4 linked regions of the Caenorhabditis elegans genome follow. The protein of the gene in region 1 purifies or fractionates together with the protein of each later gene. This does not show direct contact. Each region holds a gene or a part of one and is shown in the gene's direction. Other genes may lie near its edges. The genes, in order: herd-1, deps-1, znfx-1 and lotr-1.

Region 1 (5,215 bases):
GAGAATACATCCGAATGACCAGACATCGGATCTCGTCGAAAAAGGGAGTCCCATGAAGATCTCCGGTGCTCTGTAGTTTTGTGTCTGCACAACTTCCGATGATTTCAAATCCTCCTGGTTGCTCTTTCGAGCATTTCCGAAATCGATAATACACACATTGAGCTCCTCGCTAGGTGAAATATAGCACACATCTTTCCTAATTTCCGTGGTGAAGGTACACGTGGAAGTGAAGCAGATATTCTCTGGCTTTAAATCCAAATGCACAATTTCCATTTTTTCCAGCTTCTTCATAGCGGACAAAATCTGTGCTCCAATTTCTCGAATCGTTGCAATTGGGAACGAGATTTCCTTGTTCGGCACCTCCGACTTTGTTGAATCCATAACGCTGAATAACGATTTTCCTCTCAATTCCATCAGAATAGCAATTCGGAGATATCCTTCTGGAACTGAAGCCATTTTTCCACTTTTCACGAGTTTGATCAAATTCGGGTGGTGAGCAGCGGCGACAGATTTCATTATCTGTAAATAATTGGGGATTGAAAGCTGAAAAATGGGGGGAAAAAAAATTATAGATTATTTAAATACCTCACTTTCGCGAACCCAGTCTTCGCATCCAAACTGTGTGTGTCCTGCTTTGAAGAGCTTCAGCGCAAATTTCTTCTTCTTCTAAAATATTAGATTTAAAATTTAAAGCACAATTTTAAAACAAAAAAACCTCAGCATCAGCAACCTCAAAAACTGTGCCAAAAACTCCTTCGCCAAGAACCGACACATTTTCAACTGAAAATTCAATTAATTTCTTAAAAAGATAACGTTTTTAAAAGTTTTAAAACAACTTACGATCGGTTCCCCAATTCGTGCGAAATGATTTGTCAGTTGTGCCATGAAAGTCGACAAATCGTCTGAATTCGAGCTTCTCACCACAGCTTGAATAGGCTTTTTTAGCCGGTAAGGAGTGGTGTTGGAGACAGGTGCTCGCACGTTTCATCTGAAATTTTAGGCCAAGTTAGGCAAAATTAGTAGTGAGTCGAATAGGAACAATAGAAATAACAGGTCACATTTGCATTGAATTTGGAATATTTTTAGGTATTTTTTCTCGTAAAATGTAAGAAAATCAATTGAAAAACCAAAGAAAAAGGTTGAAATTTAAATTTCTTATATTAAAAAAAAAAAAAAACTTTTAAGTGCCGGTTACGGTACGCAAGTCCGCAAACACGCTGCATACACTCCACAACTACCGTAGTCCACGGGCGGCCGCATTGCGCAATTGCGTGAATTCATAATCCTAAAAGTTTTTTTTTCATTTTTGTCCTATTTCCTTCAAAGTTTGTTCGTTTTCCATCGATTTTCACCATTTTTTTTGCACGAAATATTTTAAATTATCAATATTCTTGATACAAAAACTTTATTTTTCCTAATAATTCCCGTTTTTCAGCCATGGCTACCCGAAACATGCTCCAATCATATGGAAAACGCGGAATTTACGTTTCACTGGCTGTCGCTGTCGTCTCGACTGCCGCCTTCAACGCATTTTACGTCTGGCCACGTCACAACAAATATGAAGAATTTTTCGCGTCAGTCTGATCCTCGCACAAGTTTGTCTCAACGAAAACTTGCAGAAACTACGATCCGTACACTAGAATGAAGGAGATTTGCGCTGCTAACAAGGGATACATGCATACTTGTCCGAAGGAATTGGCGAAATTGTACGAGGAGAAAGGAAAAGCTGTTGCCGAGCACTAAATTTTCGATGAATTGCTTATAACAAAGCACTATTATGTCTTGTTTTCTTTCATTCTTGATCAGTATTTACATTGTGTTTTATACCACATGCATATCTTCCTTTTTTTAAAACCATTTTGTAACAACGAAAACCTCCCTTTACAGATAATAATGGCTGAGAATAAGAGTTCGAGTGAACTGCCCGATAAGAAGACTCTTGATATGAACAAGGAATGGGTGCAGGAGCTGGAGGCTGTGAGTTTCCAAGTGTTTAACTTATAAATATTTATTTTTTTCAGATTTTCTACAGCTACAGAAACTACGACGTGAGCAAGATCAGAGTTCAACAGTTTTTGGACAGATCATCCAACTTCCTCATCTACGATTTCTACACCTCCAACCTTTCTCTGGAGTATGTGAATAATGTCACCTTCAGTACCCTCATTTATACAAATTTTCAGCGCGACGCAGTATTTCCAAGCAGGAATCACTCAAAAGGACGTCGGACTGAGCAAAGACTACATCCTCCTCATGCGGAAACTCTACAGTATGCTGACGGAGCCGAGCAAGCAGTTCTTCCAGGAGGAATTCGTGAAGGAATGGCAATTTCACGAAATTGATTATACGCCATACTTCGAAACGCTCGTACCCAGATTCAGGGAGAAAGTTGCGAGCCTATTGGATGAAATTTCCAAAAATCCAAAAGAAGTCGACGATGATTTTCAGGAAGAGGTAAAAATATAATTATTTTCGAATCACGGTTCATATCGATATTTCAGCTCCGCTGGCACCTGCTCTACTCACCAGCCACCACTCTTATGGAAATGTTCACTCAATGCCTCAAGAACTTCGACATCGCCGGAATTTGCATAGAAGTGTGCCAAAAAGTGCCACAATTGTTCTTCGATCGTCGGTTGAAAATGTATCACACGGAATACGAAACCGATCGAGTTGAATCACTCATGGCTCTCGTTTTCCGCAGATTGATCCTCAATAAGCGTTGGGTGGATACTAGTAACGAAGAGTGGCGCAATTTGGAACAACTCGCAAGAGTCATATGCTCAGGAAAGGAACCCGCGTTGATGTCCGCATGGGCACTTCTGGATGTGGTGCTTTGCGAACTCTACACAGAGAACAGAATTCCCATGATATCGGTGGAGGTTTTGAGCGAGATTGCTGCAAAAATTGTCGAAAACTTCGATAATTTGGAGTATGCCACGTCGGCGAGATCTAAGCCAGCTGACAAAGTTCTCTTGACTCCCTCGATCATTTGTTTCTTGCTCAACACTATTGATGACGCGAACGTTTCGAATACAGTCATTGAAAACTGTAAAATGATTCTCAAGGCGATTGGTCAATCCATGAAGCAGCCATTCGATGATGAAGCGAAGAGCTACTTGACTTCTGAGGTTTTGAGAAAATTCCCGTGGCCCGTAGAATTCGCATGTTCAACGTGGTTCAAGTCACTGGAAGTTGAGAAGCGACGCATTCCATCAGCGATCTACAAAGCAGTCAATGGAGCAATTGAGGAGACATTCGACGAAAGAAGCGGAATTTTTGGTCAATCGGACAATAAAGGAGACGCAGAACGATGCTCGTCTCCATCATCTCAATCTTCAGTGAAGACGGCGATATCGATTGGCGATAAATCAGGCACCGCTGTTGATAATTTGAAGATGAATGAGCTGAATCTGAGCCCAATGTCAGCAGAAACTGTAGAAGATGAGAAAAGCTGTAAATCCGCGTTGGTCGCAGAGATATTCGAGGAAATCCCACTGGAAACTGATCAAAACATCTCAGTTTTTGAAGATCCACTCGAAGTTCTCACGGAATACCTCGATTATATCATCACGATGGGAGTGTTCGACGTCTCGTGCGCCAACGAGCTCATGTGTCACAGCTCAGTCACGTTTGAATCCACGGAACAGCTGGAGAAAGTTATGAAGAAGGCGTTTGAGGAGAACTTCGAGATCGCAAAAGCCGGCCCACAGCGTATCAGAGAGATTTGTGCGAAGATTTTGGAGGTAATTTTTTTTTGATTTTTCAATAAAATTAATTTCTGAAAATCGGCCATTTCTGAATTTCTATATTTCCAGGTTTTCGCTCCAAGCTCGTCGGAATCGGACCACGACCGTATCGCTTCTTCGCTCATTGAGGTCATTCCAACAGAAAAATATGAGGACACTGGACCAAGATGCACTCAGGATTTAAAGAAATCGGAAATCATTCAGCCTCTGGTCATCATTCCAGACAAAACATCTATGGAACGCTGGCCGCCAACTGGTAGGAAAATGATACTAAATTATCGATTATTTCGTAAATAATTCTGATTTCTTGCAGAATACCGTTATAAACCAAATGAAATCAATGGATCTCGTAACTCTGCACGACATGAACGTGAAGTTCGCAAGCAAGTTGCATTAACCAAATCTTTGGAAATGGCTCAACTTCATCGCAATTTGTGGGCGGAAAGCGAGAGAAATATGGACCACTGGACCCGACCAGCGTCCCCAGGCAATCGTCCATTTTTTGGCGGATCTCGCATGAACTCGTCCACATCAAGTATGTTTTTAAAAGAAAGCCAATATGTTTTGTTTTAATTATAATTTTTGTAGGAGCGCATGGCAGCTCTACGAACGGGTTCCGTTAAGCCGACTGATCGCCCCTGGAATGTTTAAAACGTTCATTTTATTTTTGTTCTTTTGTTTTCAATTTTTCGTTCCTGATTTTTGTTGTAAAATGTATTTCGCATGGTTTTACCCCTTTTTCACTGAGTTGTGGCCCTAAGTCACCGTATTCTTTTTGTTGTTACCCTCGGAATTTTTTAAATAATTACCCTCGGAATTTTTTAAATAATTTTTCCCGATTTTTTCCTAGGAATATGTTAACGTTGAGGTTTCTTCCTCAACGTGAACATTTTAACTCAATGGTGCTCCATGAGGCCATTTCCTTTTCAATGAATTTTTTAAATTAAAAAAAAACGACAAGATTTGGCCTCTGGTATTTATTTAGAAATATGTTCTGAAACTTTTGTGAATATTGTTAGAGTGTGCAATTGCGCGTCAATTCACGTGTTTTCACACACGACACGCGATAGGAGAGAAACCTGAAGAAAAGATCCACTTTTAATGCGATATTTATCCCTTGATTTTATTGATTTTTGAGAAAAAAACGTTGCTTTTTTCCAGTAATGAGCGGATGGTTACGAAATATTCAAGGACAATTAACAGATTTGGCAAATGAAGTGCTAAATGAGGCGAATGATGTGTTGGCAGAGGCCACAGAAGAAGTTCAAGATCCTGATGGAGAGATTATTGTGAGAATTATTAATTTTAAGTTAAAATTGTTAAAAATTGGAAAAATTCAGTTAAAAAACTCGAATTTTAAATAAAAAATCAATTTTTTAAACCAAAAAAAACTTCCAGGTAGCTAAAAAAAAGGCAGCTGAAGCCGAAAAGCAACTTGCAATCGAAACTTCGCGTGTCGAACTTCT
Region 2 (4,911 bases), on another chromosome or scaffold:
TTGGATTTGTTCGATGGAGCGCGCTTGCACGTTTTTAAATTTATTTATTTTATTTATTGTTATTTTCCACCGATTTTCAATGTTTTCGGTGTATTTTTGCTTGAATTTTAGAGAAAAAGTTAAAATAAATGCAAATTTCCGATTAAAAAATCACTGAAAATGCGTAAAACTGAAAAATATGCTAGTTTCAGGTTTGTTGTCGTCGGAACTCATTATTTTACAGTTTTACGTATTTTTCACATTTTTAAACACTTTTTAGCAAACATTCTGCATTAATCTTGCTTTTTTACTTCTCTTTCCGATAAAAATACACAACTAATGAAGAAAATCAGTGACATAATAATAATAATAATAATAATAATAATAATAATAATTTATTACGCTCGCTGGGAGACGTGAAGGAATACAGAATACAAAAGTTATCATTGTTCGCTTGAACTAGAATTGGTGCAGTCGGGCAATCGTTTCCATTCCATTAAAATGTTGTCCTTGTCCTTGCGTTGTCCTTGCGTAGACTCCCCCATAGTGGGCGAGCGATTCCCGAGTGAAAATAATCACGGAATGAAAAAATAGAAGAAAAATAGAATAAATTAATAAAAAAAATAATGCAAGCGCGCTCCAACGAACGAGTTCAATTGGCGGTAATTCAAATAGGAATTAGGCAAAAACTTTTTCAGATTTTTTCAATTTTCAAAAAATCATATAAAATTTATAAATTTTTTTTGAAGTTTTTTAACGTGATATTTGGTCATTGTGGTACCATAGGCGTGTTTTAAAGCAATTTCCCCACAGGGTGTAGTCCACATTTAAAAATTAAAAATTAAAAATTCTACCTAACAAAATCGAAAATTTCAGATTCTCCTTGATTAAAAGCTTTATTATTGAGTAAAGAGTCCGCAGCGTCCACACGGAGAGCGGGTACAAGATGGAAATCTGAAAATATTTAGGATTTTCAAGGGAAAATATCGATTTTTTTTAGCAAAATACCACAGAAATTGCGGATGGAATGAGTAGAAGAGCCGGGTTGACTTTCCGGGGAAAGTTTCGACGTGTGATGCTCGTCTCGGAGAGCCTCATTCCCAAGAATCCGGTTGCGATGCTGAAGAAAATCGATGGAAAAAGTCTAAAATATCCCCTGAAACCCTACCTAAAAATCAGAAAATACGAGAAAATATTGATTAAATTCCGAGCCGGCACATAATTCGGGCGGATCAGCACTCCATTGAAGTTTCGAAACGTTTCGCCGTTCCACTGAAGTCCATCGAAGCCGGGAACGGATGGCGGCTCGAAATGCTCGTCGACACTCATTTGACTGGCCCTGTAGAGCCCGATGATGGCAATGGCGAGCATTCCCACTTCCACATGGAATATCAGGCTCTGAAAATTAAAATTTAGCTTTTAGACGGAAAAAATCGATTACTTTGACATGAACTTGATCGAAAAGCCAGCGATACGGGTATTTTCGGTGCAGGCGGCCTGATTCCGGACGTGCTCCTCGAGATATATTGGAATTTGTCGAGCGGATACTAATATCTGCCATTTTTTCGCTGAAAAATCAGAAAAAATAAGTTTTAAAACAGAATTTTAATGGAAAAATAAACGGAAAAATTCGAAACTTTTTTTTCCGCCATTGAACACCAATGTGCCTTTAAGGTACGGTAGCTCTTCGTGGTGAGACCACTGCGCCGCGCATCTGATTTCTCGTGGGAAATTTGTTTCGAATCCTACGTTTTTTACAGATTTTTCTTTTTTTTCGTTTCGCTCATCATTTTTTTGTTGCAAAAAATCCAATTTTCAGACAAAAATGTCAGAACGCCAATCCAAATATTTTGACTATCAAGGTATCGTCATTTCCTCCACTGGACAAGATAACCAAGATTCGGAGACGGACCTCGTTTATCTCATTCAAGCTCATGTACGTGAATTCCCTCCGTTTTCATATTTAAAATAATAAGCTCGTTTTCAGGGAAAAGCGGCCCCGAAGAACATCATGTACGGTGTCTCCAAGTGCGCATTTGTTCCAACAAACTTGGAGAGGAATTTCGATAATATCGAAGAGGCAAAAAATCTTGAGTCAGTATTTATTTGATTTGAGCCCATTTTTAATCTGTTAACACTTGAATTTTTAGACGTCGATCCAAAATCCCGCTAAAGTTCGGTGAAGTCATCCTATGGAACGAATCGGACTGTGATCACGATAAGAGGATAATCCTTCATATCAAACGAGAAAAACCAATTTATGAAGCGTCTTCCAGCAGAAATGGACTTATTTTGAAAGTCGGTGGCGTCATCCAGCCCACCTCAACGACCTCGTTCTGGACGCCATTATGCACCGTCACCATGCGTATGTTTCTTCTTGATTTTCGTCTCTCTAACCATATATTTATTTCAGCAGAGACAGAGGCGACCCGTGCGGAGCCAGACGTTTGGCTATACGCCTGGATTCGATTCGAAACTACCATGAAGAGTGGTCTAGATCCTTTCAATATGACTGCAACATTCGAATCGTTTGACAGTTGCGATCCATCCGACCAAGCACGCGTCTGTGAAGCGGTATTTGCTTTTTAAAAATTTTTTACGGGATTTTGAACAAATAACTTTCAGCCATGGAACGCAGGCTCTCCTGACTCTAAATTCGGTGTTTGGCGCCCGGATCCAAAGCCTGCTGATAGCGACGACGAAATTGATATCGAGCCGAGAGAAGGCTGGCACTTGCCAGAAGACAAATGGGCCGAGGTTAAGGTTGCTTTGTGGATTCTCGTTGACAATTTGATTTTGCAGGTCATCAAGATGCAGCTTGGCCTGTATGTCGGCGAACGCCTACTGATTTGCAAAGAACTCTCGCAGTTCGACTTTATTATCCCACTGCAGAAGCCATTTTCCCGAGGAACGGACAAGACTTTGATCTACCCAGCCGTCGGAGAATACTTTCATTTCAGTGCTATTTGGTCGATGCAGCACAACGGTTTTCTGATCTATGAGCTTCAGCCAGTTCCACTTCTCAGACAGCATGTAACCTCTGTCAACGGAAATGTAAGTTATAATATTGATTTTTTTGTCCAGAACATAATTTTTATTTCAGCTCCTTACCCGCGTCGTTCCTGCCAGTATCAGAGGTCTCTTCGTTGACAAGGAGGGCACTCTTGGATTGATTGATGACCCACACCATCTTCTTTCATTCTTCGAGTTTCATCCAGCTGGTTATGAATTCTTGAAGGCTATGGTAATCATGAGTGGGTCTTATTTTGAAACAAACGCTTTCAATTTTCAGGCCGAAGTTCGTGCTGTTCGAACTTCAGAAAACAAATCTGTCCGTTACCGCATTGTTCGTACATCGGGAATGTCCATTTTTGAAAACTGGCTTCGTGATACTCAGGTCTCTAAAGTTAAATTAAACTCGTCCTTTTCACCCCTGAATTTTTCAGTTCGTTGTTGGTCCAGTCAAAGGAATTCGAATCAATGAAGACACTGTCATTTGTGCCAAACATCCGAATGTCTACTTCAAAATCCCCAATAACTTGAAGGAAGGAATCCCCATTGGCGGAGGAGTTCAATTCGTTGGAAAGCGACAAGCTGGAGTCGACAGTGAAATTATGATCACCGAATGTTCTCCATGTCCAGCGTTCACTTGTAAAAATTACTCGGTCTCTGGTGATACGGTTAGTCTTCAATTATTTAATAGTTTTTATTCTATGAGGAAAATATTCAGCGCTTGTTCCAAGTGTACTTGAAGCCAAATTGCGATCATGAGCAGTTGGCGGAGAGTGATTCGATGGGATTTGTGGATTTCAGAGAGTTGGAGACTCCATGTAGAGGAAAGTGAGTGTGTCAGGATTTGTAAAAATAATTGTAACTGAATTTTAAGGTTCCTGGCATGGGTCCGTGAATCCATTACTGTCAATGATTGTCGCCGTGCTGCTACCATCATGGAAGTATGCTCGACAGCCATCTGTCCTCCGTTGATTGCAATGAGCGCGAATTCGAGCAGAGCAACATCGGCCAGAACTACGCCAGCTGGAAGTTCCATTGGATCCAGATCATCAATTCAATCAAGAGCATCTGCAGCTACTTCAGTGAGCTCAAACGTAAGTTTATTTTTAAGGTTGGAAGATGATAAAAACAAGTTTTTCAGCGATTCGTTGGCCCTTCAAGCCGCAGAACTCCATCTGGTACTCCACAAAGCTCAACATCTTCCAGGGTCTAATTAAATATATACGCATCCCGTTTTCCCCCGTATTTGTGTTTCAAATGTTCTGCTCATTTTTAATCTACCCGTTATCCAACCAAACATTTATTTATTTAAACTTCAAGTTCCACCACCATCCCATTCCGCACAACTTGTCTCTCGTAATTTTCTCGTGCTCTAATGAAGTTGTGGTAGGTTATTCTAGTGAATACACCCATGTTAAGCAGCGAATACATCCAGAAAAGTCCCAACAAGCCGGCAGCGAGATACTCCCCCCAAAATGATGGTTGATCGGTACATCCAAGATAGGGTAGCATCGCGATAGACGTGAGCAAGTTCGTTATGCACTTGAAAAACTGAAATTTCAGAAAAGATTAGGTGTATCAGAAGGTTAAAAACAAACAAATGACATATAGATGAACGAAGCCAGTGATGGAATCGGATTCCGAATACGAGAAGCCATTCCCGGAGATACTGTGATAAGAATCTGTGTGATCGAGAACACAATGAGCACACCCACCGGGAACATGAATTCCATGGAAACACGGAGGCAAAGGTCACAGTACTGCAAAAAATGCGAAATTTTGGCGATTTTTGCTCTAAAAAATGCACTGGCCGGGTCTCACCACGACAAATTTTTGTTGTCAGTTGAATGCCAATAGAGTGTGCGCCTTTAAGGAGTACTGTAGTTTCAAACTTTTGTTGCAATCGATTTTACAGTTTTC
Region 3 (4,560 bases), on another chromosome or scaffold:
TTTTTCAAATACATTTTCCAGTCCGAATTCGGTCAACTACACGGGGCCATTAACCAGAACATCAACTATGGATACTGTTGAGTTGGAGGCATTGTTGAGGAGAGAACAACATTTCGTTGTACCATCGTACAGTGAAGTTATGCTCATGCAAAATACGATTGCTAATTCAAATGTAAGGTTTTTTTTAAATATTAAAATTTTAAGATCATTTGCTCCTGATAAATATTTATTAATCGCTCTGATAATATTGTAGACCAATTATCCAAATATTCGATGCCTGGACCCTGTGATTCTTCCACGACCATTCGTGAGTACAACTAACGAACATATCGTACTTCGGAACTATGGAGCAACAGAAACCGACAATTCACTATCTGAGCCCATTACAGCAACGCCGAGACCTCTTAGAGTTAGCCGAAGTATGACATTTGCTGCTCAAGGAAATCTCGAAGAATCAGCTGAGAATCTGAGTTGTTTAGAAAACGGAAGTAGAGCAAATCGTGCTATTCCATCGAGTCGGCGGAATTTGCCGTTACGTTCGTTATCGATAGGTGGTATTTCTGCTTGGTCCAATGGTTACAGAGAAATTGGAAATCCTGATGATTCACAACTACTCATTGAACCAGATGAACCACCTCCACCATATGAGGTCGGTTTTCAATTTATAATGGAAATGACAATTTATTTCTCAGGTTGCTCTCAGAATGTGTGCTCCATTATATGAACGCCTACGACGATCAATATCTTCACGATTGGCTTCAATTTCTCACTCGAGCTCGAAGGATTTGAAGTCGCTAACTTTGAAAAGTAGTTCTAGTAACAATAATAACAATAATTCAAACAACAATAATAACGATGATCCAGAACATCCATAAAATCGGGTATTTTTTCACATGCGGACCAATTTTAAGAATTGTTAAACGTTGGTGCTTGAAATAAATAATTTTTCTGATTTTTTTTTATTTTCAAGTTTAAAAAAATTGTGTTTCAAGTTATTCGATTAAAAGCGTTGTTTTTATTGCCTTATTAAATGGTAAAAAGCAATCAATTTTTAAAGGAGCGTCCACTGAATACGAGGAGATGGTCTCGGCACGAAATATAAAAAACTACAGTACCCTTGGAAGTATTGGCGCGGAAATTTTTTTTTATTCAGTTATTTATCTGTTCAGTTTTCGTATTTTTGATGTTAAAACTCCATTTTTCTCTTCAAAATTTGTATTAAAAATCACTGGGCAACGCATTTTCACTATTACAGAAGTATTTTTGATGAAATCTTCAAGAAATTCACATGTTTCTTTGTTTAAAATTTTAGGATTTGACGGTTTCGGTTTTTAGGCCAAAAAACTCCGTTACCAGTTTTAATTTCGTTCTGATTCCGTGAGGCAATGCTTCACTAATCACATTTTTCACGAAATACAAAGTCTTGCTTGAAAATTTAACAAAAAACTCCAATACTCTCGCAAAATCTTGAATATGGCCATTTTATTTGATGTAATTATTTCTTTTACAGATAAATACTTCAAACCAACCAATCCATCTATCTGACAAGCTAATGTCCAGAGATAAACCACCTCAACGTGAGGTTGGCGGACGTCGGTTGCCCTACGAAATGGGTTCGTTGAAGTTCGACGAAGACCCGTTCCGCGGACAGCGCCGGCGTCCGTGGATGTGCTTCAGAATCGGCTATCCGACAAGCGAGTTCTCATCAGAGCACTTCATGTACGTTCAAATTATTCAAAAATTATTGAAAAAACGTATTGTTTCAGGAAATTCGTGAAAAGGTGTCACACTTCGATGATAGAAGTAGGTATTCTTCTCGATGATGAACGGGAATTCCTGCAATATCAAGAAGTCAGGGAAGATTATCTTCTTCTGAAAAAGCTCATCGAGGAAGGTCTGCAGAAGTGTGAAACGATCTATGAAAAAGGACCGCTGTCGACTCCGGTTGTTTTTTTCATTTTAGACCAGTGCGGTAAGAAAAGTAAATTATACATAACGTGTATAAATATTCACTCATACAGACGAAGACGAAGTCCAAAACATGCTGGATATGTTTAGGGAGTCTTGTTATATCTTCCATATGAAACGCAACGAAATTCTCAACTGGATCAACGAAATGGAGTATGAAGAACTGGAGTGAGTAAATGTTCAGCATAACGTCGAAAAAATTCATATTTCAGAAGTGACTGCTCTAAATTTGCACAGTTCATCAAAGGAGTGGAAAATCTGACGGAATCCATCGCGATGCCCATGGAGGTAGAAACAGAGTAGGCTATCTAGAAGGAAAAAATAATTAAAAAACATCTAACTTTCATAGAGAATTCATCTTTGGAAAGAGTTCGATTGTATCGACCGAAGACTTTGTTGAAGACGCCCCTCACAAGCAGATCGCACAAGATCAACGCGAAACAAGGTATCGTTACCATGTTGTAAACTTTCTATTCAAAAATTTTGCAATATCTCTTCGTTCATATTAGACTTATGGCCTAGCTATTTCTTTCTTTTTCCACACGTCCAACATAGATAGACAGTTCGAGACGTAGAGAAAAACAGAAAAACCGTGACTAGTTGCTTCCCCTGTGATTGATATGCTTTTTTTTCACAAATTCGAAAAAAATAATCTGAATAAGCATGTTTTCACATCAGAATTTGTTAAACAGTGTGTTTGGAAATACTGAAATATTCCCTTGACTCGCAGGATTTAACGAATAATTATTTCAAAATTTTCGATTGTTTTTCTCAATAACATCAATAATTTTTCCTGAATTCCTGATATTGCTTTTAAAAATATATAATAGAATTGGTGACCTTTGTTAAATCATTGATAATCGCAGTGGCTTTTGTTTTTATTCTCGTTTCATAAACAACGTGAATCGTGGTAGCGGAAAAAAAACCACATTTATCGTGTTCCCATCTTTCCCCAGAAACCTGGCCGCGTTCCTTTTCACTGTAGTAAACGCGGATTTTTGTGGGCATACTGATTTCGTTAGAAAATACTTTTTCTTAAAATGCTAGAGCTCTCCGCGTTCTCTCATAATGTATAATTAAATTATCTTGTTTCAGACCAATTCGCCAACCGTATTCAATGGTCAGAAACCTCGCCCCCCCAGGGCTCCCGCCGCCTGGAATTTCGATTTCAAACAGTTCGCCTCCTGGATTATCTTCAGTTTCGCCAATTCCCCGAGCAGATACACGCGAATCCCGTTATTCCACCCCTCAACCACCCGGATTGTCAATTCCAGCACCACCTGGAATATCTCTTCCAACTCCACCAGGAATATCTCTTCAAAATCATCAGAATGATCAATTCGAGCAAGCTCATAGTACCATTTCGAGAATGAGCGAGAATAGTTCATCTTCGAGGCGTCGATTCCGCGATGAAGAAGTTCAGGAAGAAGAAGGAGATCATATTCTATCGTCTGAAGATGTACATGCTGCGCGGAACGTGTGTGAAACCAAAATCCTTGTTAGAGGAGTTCCGCAAAAGAACGATTCTGAGTTGGTAAGATCTATTCATTTTTGTGATAAACTGCAACCTGTGAGTTATTTCGGCAATTTCCGGAAAACTAATCTTCAATAAACACGAAATTAATATTAAAATTTTAATTTTCAGTCCAAGCTCATCAACGGATCAAAACTATACGTACGGTTCGAACGTCCGTTTGTAAAACTAGCTCACAATCTAGAACTTCTCTACGTTGTCAATTATGCTATCAGTTCTCGAAAAAGTATTGTTCGGGATCACAGTAAAGCAATTATTCGCGGATTGTTCGAAAAGGATTTTCTACTGAAGCTCAAAAGTAAATTCCTGGAAAGCTCGTTTGACAATGACACGTGGACTCCCGAGGGTACAGAATTGCTATTCGAAATCTTTCATTTGTTTTTCACAACGGCTCGATACAAGGGTGGATTCATGCTGACACTTCCGAGATTTGTAAGTTGAAATAAACTGAAAATTTTAAAAGTAAACATTATTATAGGCGCCGTCTTGGCATGATTTCTCGATGGCTTTCGATATTGCTGACATGGATGGACTTGAGGAAGCTGGTGTGGGTGATGATGAGCTTAGAAATCTTAGGAGGCTGATTGGTTACATTGAAACATGGATCAAACGGGCAGAACGGGAACGAAACCCCAGTCCATTGGCGCTGCGGTCATATTCAGTGTACGAAAAAGCTGGTTCTTCTGACAGTGGACGCCAAGTTTTATCTGAAAGTCGAGGTGCAGGTTCCAGCAATGTTTATGGTCATGACGAGGTGGATTTCGTCGATCACAGACGCAGAGACGAGTTCGGACATCGTGATAACTACCGGACAGAAAACCGTCGCCATAAAAGCCCGGACAATTTTGGAGAAGTTCACAGAAGGCTCGATGAGCAACAACAACAACGACATGAGGATGAATCATCAAGATATCGCGATGACTCGAGACAGTCTCGACGAGCAGATGATAGAAGAGATCAATATCAGTACAACGAATCAACATCTATGGAAAATCACTTGGGGTTTCACAACGGCGGTGGCACCGTCAGTGAGCACTCACGAGATGATAAATTCGTTT
Region 4 (5,606 bases), on another chromosome or scaffold:
ATGCAAATACTGTGAAAGTGAAGAGGGGAATAAATATTCTTTGGGAGATATTACGGGGGCAATAAACCTTTGATTTTGAATAGAAATAAAAATTGTGGAAAAAGGATAAAAATACGGAGGTGACATACAGGGAGTTTTATTGACGAAGAATTGGCGACGGATGCTCAAGTCCTGCGCCAAACAATCTATTCCTATGATCACGGCGACTATAATCGATCTGGAAAAAATTACACTTAATCAATCACAGCAATTGCGAGCGGATTAATGAAAGTTCCATGATTCAAATGATTTCTTGGCAATACACCCGGCAGCCAGATGTTTTGGATTGACATTAAAGATTATCCAAAATACCAAGTGTACTGGGGACTGGAAAACAGGAGATAAAACTAACATTGGAGAGAGGAGTGCTGGTGAGAATCTTGGACGTTGACTGATCACGCAGGTTTAATGAAAATTCATGACTAGCTTTTCGCATCACAGAGGGAGGACCAGTTCGGGATATCTTCGAGAAAGGCGGCTCAGTTCGAGTGTTCGATCGGCGTTTATTTACAGAAAGATTTTGAGATGGTTGTTCGCGTAGTTCCTTCAGCCTGGCCATCAGCTGATTCTTTTCCTCTTTTGCATTTTTCAGTTTGACATTATCTTCAAGGAAAGCTTTCTTTCGTTTTTCGATTTCTTGAGTCTTTTCCACGTGTTTTGAGCGTGCTTCGGCGAATCGCTCGGTATCTTTTTTCGCCTGAAATTATTAATTTTATTGGTTATTCAATTGTCAACAGATAACCTCGGCGTTTTTACATTTTACATATATTTCTCGCTGTTTCGCCTGAAATGCGACAACTTGTTTCAGCTCGTTGACCAGGTCTGACGCCAGCTGTCGCGGATCTTTGAACAATTCCTGAGATGGTTTTTTATTTAAATTGAATTTTAAGTCGACTGAAACATTACCATCAAATCAGGTCGCAAGTTTTTATTGATTTCATCCACCTTTAGCGGTTTTTTACACAAGTAGCACTGCGAGTTAAATGCTAAAAATGCTATATAAATTCTAGCTAAATTTATTATTAAAATTTACTAACCAGCTTTCGTACAGTTTTGACAGAAAACGTGACCGCATGCTGTTAGGTACAGTTTCGTTTGATTTGGTTTAATGCCACAATGATTGCATTGGATCCAATCCATACGTGTTTCGAGTCTTAAAATACGATTAAATAAAGCTCAAAGACTTCTGCTAGATAACAAGTAATTATTAGAACATTCATCTCGATTATCACTATAACTCTCTAGTTATAACTATAAAACAATTTCAAAAAAGAACTTTGAATATAAAGAATGAACAAACAAAAAATGTTTGATTTTAATTAAAGACCGGCAGTGCACCTAAGTTGGATTAGCATCAGAGATCTTAATCAAGAATCAATCTTCAAGCATTACATTATTTTTGTTTATATTTTGAAACTCGATCGAGAAAGAAACAAAATTAAATAAATCGGTTTTCAAGCTTTTCAAACTTTAAGTGTATCAAAGGCGCAGTTAATTCATTGCAATAGATGGTCTCACCCGGAAAATGCGTACGCTGCAGTGGGTCTCACCGCGAAAGTGCGAATGACTAAAGTTTACGCGCGCACGGCGCGCGGCTTCAGATTCAAAATTGAAAGTTCATCTATTTCGTGGATATTTTTCAATGGATTTGGTTTTATGTACTTTTTATTTGCCGTGATCTTCGAATATTTGTTTTAATCAAGTTGCAGTTTAGGTCCATCGTTAACTTATCCCGCGAGATGCCTGCTAATGAGCTTTTCGGAGATTCTGATCCGGAAGGGGATGAAATTTTTGAAAGAGTTCGAAAGGTATTCAATTATCTGTGAAGGTAAATAGTAATAAACACATTTTCAGGTGCAACCAAAGTCGATCAATGTAACTGAGAATCAAAAGGTAGACCCTATGCGTAAAGTCAAAATCGAGCTTCAAGCTGTTTTGGTTGCGGAAAAAATACCAATTAGTACAGAAGAAATCAGACGGCGTCTGCTGTGAGTTTCTTTTTGCGAAAAATAACGACACTACCTTTGTTTCAGGGATTCTTATGGTGCATGTCCTGATCCGAAAAGATATAACTGTTCGACTTTGGACGATCTTCTTCAAGCATGCTCGGAGTCAATTGTACACACTTTCGGCCGTGATGGAATACACCGATATGGGCCAAGAACTACTGAAGCCAACCAAGATATTATCGAAATGGTCCAGCAGCAGTCGAGCTCAAAACGCCCGGCCCGCTCGTTTTTAGGTTCAGGAGCTACTAATAACCTCAGCACTCATGGGTCATCATTCCGGGCATTCAGAGGTCCGTATGCGTCAGAGGAAATCGCTAAATCGAGAGGAACACCTGAGCAGTATGTGGAAGTTTAAAAAATCGTTGTCAATGATTTGTTTTTTAGATTCAAAGCAAGACACAAGTTGGGTCCAGCAAAAACAATTTCTCGCGTAAAAAACCTTGCAGAGGTTTTGAAAGAATATGCTGATGAGATAGGAGTTTCACATCCTGATGAGCCAAATCGCAAGATTGTAACACTGGCAGCTCTTGCCAATAAGTTCAAACAGTTGTATTGTTTACCAGCATGGGGAAAGAACATATCGGAAAGGTAATTCACTTGCGCAAAAGTATTGTTGCGCTTTTATAGTCAGTTCTAAATTGAATGTTTTGATTTCAGTGAACTATACATTCAGCTCAATGTTCCTCCTTTCAACGAATATCTGCATTTCTGGCGTCTTAGCGAAAAAGGTGACATCTTCGTTGATTGTATTGATCGTGACAATGCCGATCCAACTCAAAAAAGTGAACAAAATCCGTCAGCAGATGTTTCTATTCAATCTGAATCTTTTGGCGGTAAAAGTGATCAAATGATGCTTTCCAATAGTAATTTATTTTACAGGTTCAGCTTCAGCGTTTGAACAATCTGTAGTATCCGCTCCTTCAACTATTAGAGATCAAACATCCGATTCCTTGTAAGGGCACATTTTGATCACTGTTTTTCAGATGTTATTTATCAATTTTCAGTGACGGGTTCAACAGTTTCGAAGTGCCCCCAGAAAATGGAAGCAAAGATTCAAAAATTTTCAACTCGAATCAAGAAAGCATCGATGACTATCCAGGAAATGCTATATCTCGAGATCGAACCGCTGATATGACCGACATTGCATTGCGCTTTGGAACTGTCTCTGTGGCAAGCCAACAATGTCCGGTATCTTCGTCACTCGTTCCACAAAATGGAATTCTTCGTCAGTCGCGTGCTCAAGAAGACGACAGTGAGAAAACATTTTCGCTGCTAATGAACAAATATTGAATTTACAGACAACACATCTATTCTAACTATTCAATCATCTCGTCGCAATCATTCAGTGCTTCGTCATCGTACGATCAAGCCTCGCAATCCAACACAAAATCTTGCTGAAGTCGTAAAAACTCATGGTAGCATTCCTTATGAAGCGCTTTCGGATTGTGATAAGATTATCGTCGACTTAGGAAAGAACATTTTCAAAGTTTATGCAACTCAACCTGGAGAAATGATGGTCCGCCTTTGTGATCCCCACGTTGACACGACTACATTGCCACTCCTAGAGAACAATCTTCGGGATCCTGTCGAGTCTGATTTACGTTGGATGACACTGGGAAATTCCCATATCAAGAAACAATCTGTTAAAGTGGTCAAGCCTGCAATGTTTATTGCGCCACGCGGATTTTTGTTGATTTTAAAAGATGAAGAACGTGAAGAAATGGACGTTGAAAAGGTTGCTACTATGGGGAATATATTGCGGGCCGTGATGGTAGCGCCTATTGTGGAGCTCCAGCGTGAAACCGTCCGCACGGGATCAGCTGCAGTCTACGTTTATCGACAAGGAGCGGAGGTGCGCTATTATAGAGTGTTGATAGTTGGACAAGCTAAACAAGATGGTGAAGTGTTGGTTTTGTTGGCTGATGTCGATGATCAATATTTCGTGGATGTACATCTATCTCATTTGTTCCCGATTCCGGAAGAAGCCAGCTTCAAACACTTTCCCTCGAATGTTGTATTCGCAACATTGCATGGAGTACTGGGTTTGACGCTTTCTGAGCAGGATGTGATGTTCGAAAACATTGATAATGATGATACAAAACGATTTGTGGGTGGATATTTTCATGGAAACGATGACGTGAGTTTACAGATGGTTGTTTAGAAATTTGTTTAATGTTTGCAGAGAATTCTTAACATCGATATGGTTTGGAAAAATGAGCGTGGTCAATTTGAGTGGCTTTCACAAATTGTCAAGAGACGTGGAGCAGTTACTTCGTCCGATGCCAACATCATTCACTTTCCACATTCTGCACTCGATGTGATAAAGTCTGTTGGACCAGATTGTTCGGTGTGCTTTGTCGACTATTCAGTTCGTGATGAATCTGCAACATCTTCATTGATGGAATCGACTAGAATTGTTCATGATAGTCGTGGTTTGTGTCAAAATCGTTAGATTTTAAAATCATTTTCGTTTCAGAATCTATGACAACTACTTATGTTGGTGAGATGCCAAGCCCAATTATCGAAGAAATCGATGCAACATCTTCATTTGACCCAAAACTCTTGAATCTCCATTCATTGTTCGATAAGTTAATCGAGGAACAGAATGTTACTATGATTGTGGGGATGTTCCAATTCGTTCGAAGTTTGAAGGATTTATTCGGCGATAACAATGAATGGGAACGCTTGCTCACGTACATGCTCACGACTGGTAAAAACAATAACATTCGTCTCTGAAACATTTCTAATCCACGTGTCAGATTTTCACATCTGTGCCATTAAAACTGCACGTTAGCAACATATTCCATAATCTTATTTGTGCCCCTTTCCCTATAGAATTTTCAGAAACTCGTTTTTGTTTCTTCTTTTAACAATAATTTTTCATTGTTTTATAGCTGTTTTCACATGGTTTCCGATTTATGTGCATTTAGAGTACACTTGTGATTTAAACTCGCAAATGTTAACTCTACCCAATATGTTTCTTTTTTATATCTAATTCGTACTGAAAATGAAGTTTTTATGCGCACTGTCGATCTTTTTTATTTAAAGGCGGTTAATGGCCGTGGCCTCGTATTGTCCTTCGTGTACTAGTCCTCCACATTTCGAAAGCGAGCTCCATTCGAAAAATACACATTTTCTTCTTGATAGTTTCTGTTTTGCCTTTTTGTTTCAGTAATCTCCATGTATTCTGCGGGAATTTTTAGTATCGAATTATTTAAAAATCAATACAACTTGTTCGTAACACTCGTTAGCTTTCAAAATAGTAACGTTGATTAAAATATTTACCGAGTTGACTTTATTTTAAATTCTTTAATCTATCAAATTGGTGCCAAATTCAATTTTTACCATTCAAATTCGCAAATCTAGTTTTCGTTGCAGTAAGCAAAACCAAACATGGTGCGAGTTATTATCAAAGGAGGTGTGTGGAAGAATACAGAGGTTAGTTGCAAATCAAGTTGTTTTCACAAAAATAAAACGTTTCAGGATGAAATCCTCAAAGCAGCTATTATGAAATACGGAAAAAATCAATGGAGTCGAATTGCTTCACTGTTGCACAGA

The links.
Region 2: the proteins of herd-1 (region 1) and deps-1 purify together in Caenorhabditis elegans (affinity purification with western blotting; one study listed by BioGRID). This does not show direct contact.
Region 3: the proteins of herd-1 (region 1) and znfx-1 purify together in Caenorhabditis elegans (affinity purification with western blotting; one study listed by BioGRID). This does not show direct contact.
Region 4: the proteins of herd-1 (region 1) and lotr-1 purify together in Caenorhabditis elegans (affinity purification with western blotting; one study listed by BioGRID). This does not show direct contact.

The regions. Positions count from the first base shown.
Region 1 is NC_003281.10:12,494,651-12,499,865, forward strand, and holds herd-1 (Edg1 TPR repeats region domain-containing protein), read left to right. Parts: upstream 1-1,887; 5' UTR 1,888-1,893; coding exon 1,894-1,977; intron 1,978-2,021; coding exon 2,022-2,134; intron 2,135-2,183; coding exon 2,184-2,454; intron 2,455-2,501; coding exon 2,502-3,746; intron 3,747-3,818; coding exon 3,819-4,005; intron 4,006-4,062; coding exon 4,063-4,284; intron 4,285-4,337; coding exon 4,338-4,372; 3' UTR 4,373-4,697; downstream 4,698-5,215. Other genes in the region: Y111B2A.1 (Protein kinase domain-containing protein), read right to left, coding at 1-519, 586-666, 716-780, 841-988; Y111B2A.2 (Mitochondrial cytochrome c oxidase subunit VIc/VIIs domain-containing protein), read left to right, coding at 1,438-1,574, 1,620-1,743; sql-1 (GRIP domain-containing protein), read left to right, coding at 4,913-5,038, 5,148-5,215.
Region 2 is NC_003279.8:504,673-509,583, forward strand, and holds deps-1 (P-granule-associated protein deps-1), read left to right. Parts: upstream 1-1,800; 5' UTR 1,801-1,804; coding exon 1,805-1,915; intron 1,916-1,966; coding exon 1,967-2,073; intron 2,074-2,129; coding exon 2,130-2,344; intron 2,345-2,392; coding exon 2,393-2,553; intron 2,554-2,604; coding exon 2,605-2,736; intron 2,737-2,781; coding exon 2,782-3,033; intron 3,034-3,082; coding exon 3,083-3,223; intron 3,224-3,271; coding exon 3,272-3,376; intron 3,377-3,425; coding exon 3,426-3,659; intron 3,660-3,709; coding exon 3,710-3,819; intron 3,820-3,865; coding exon 3,866-4,085; intron 4,086-4,132; coding exon 4,133-4,204; 3' UTR 4,205-4,299; downstream 4,300-4,911. Other genes in the region: Y65B4BL.4 (Dolichyl-phosphate-mannose--protein mannosyltransferase), read right to left, coding at 834-933, 988-1,099, 1,148-1,377, 1,421-1,540; Y65B4BL.7 (uncharacterized protein), read right to left, coding at 4,300-4,542, 4,590-4,751. UniProt on the Caenorhabditis elegans protein: Component of P-granules which is required for P-granule formation and integrity in adult germ cells. Promotes the accumulation of glh-1 mRNA and localization of pgl-1 to P-granules. Involved in RNA-mediated gene silencing (RNAi) in the germline.
Region 3 is NC_003280.10:9,212,150-9,216,709, forward strand, and holds the start of znfx-1 (NFX1-type zinc finger-containing protein 1 homolog), read left to right. Parts: upstream 1-1,552; coding exon 1,553-1,719; intron 1,720-1,766; coding exon 1,767-1,972; intron 1,973-2,021; coding exon 2,022-2,136; intron 2,137-2,180; coding exon 2,181-2,267; intron 2,268-2,317; coding exon 2,318-2,413; intron 2,414-3,063; coding exon 3,064-3,502; intron 3,503-3,613; coding exon 3,614-3,934; intron 3,935-3,980; coding exon 3,981-4,560. Other genes in the region: ZK1067.4 (Transmembrane protein 151 homolog), read left to right, coding at 22-172, 254-649, 693-875. UniProt on the Caenorhabditis elegans protein: Epigenetic inheritance factor which, in association with the Argonaute protein wago-4, mediates small RNA-directed transgenerational epigenetic inheritance and thus balances the transgenerational inheritance of epigenetic information.
Region 4 is NC_003279.8:8,485,865-8,491,470, forward strand, and holds lotr-1 (HTH OST-type domain-containing protein), read left to right. Parts: upstream 1-1,753; 5' UTR 1,754-1,778; coding exon 1,779-1,847; intron 1,848-1,893; coding exon 1,894-2,027; intron 2,028-2,072; coding exon 2,073-2,387; intron 2,388-2,432; coding exon 2,433-2,636; intron 2,637-2,705; coding exon 2,706-2,881; intron 2,882-2,927; coding exon 2,928-3,000; intron 3,001-3,052; coding exon 3,053-3,300; intron 3,301-3,346; coding exon 3,347-4,185; intron 4,186-4,230; coding exon 4,231-4,480; intron 4,481-4,524; coding exon 4,525-4,784; 3' UTR 4,785-5,074; downstream 5,075-5,606. Other genes in the region: zhp-2 (Zip homologous protein 2), read right to left, coding at 137-217, 392-736, 782-895, 946-1,025, 1,077-1,179; cdc-5L (Cell division cycle 5-like protein), read left to right, coding at 5,442-5,486, 5,532-5,606.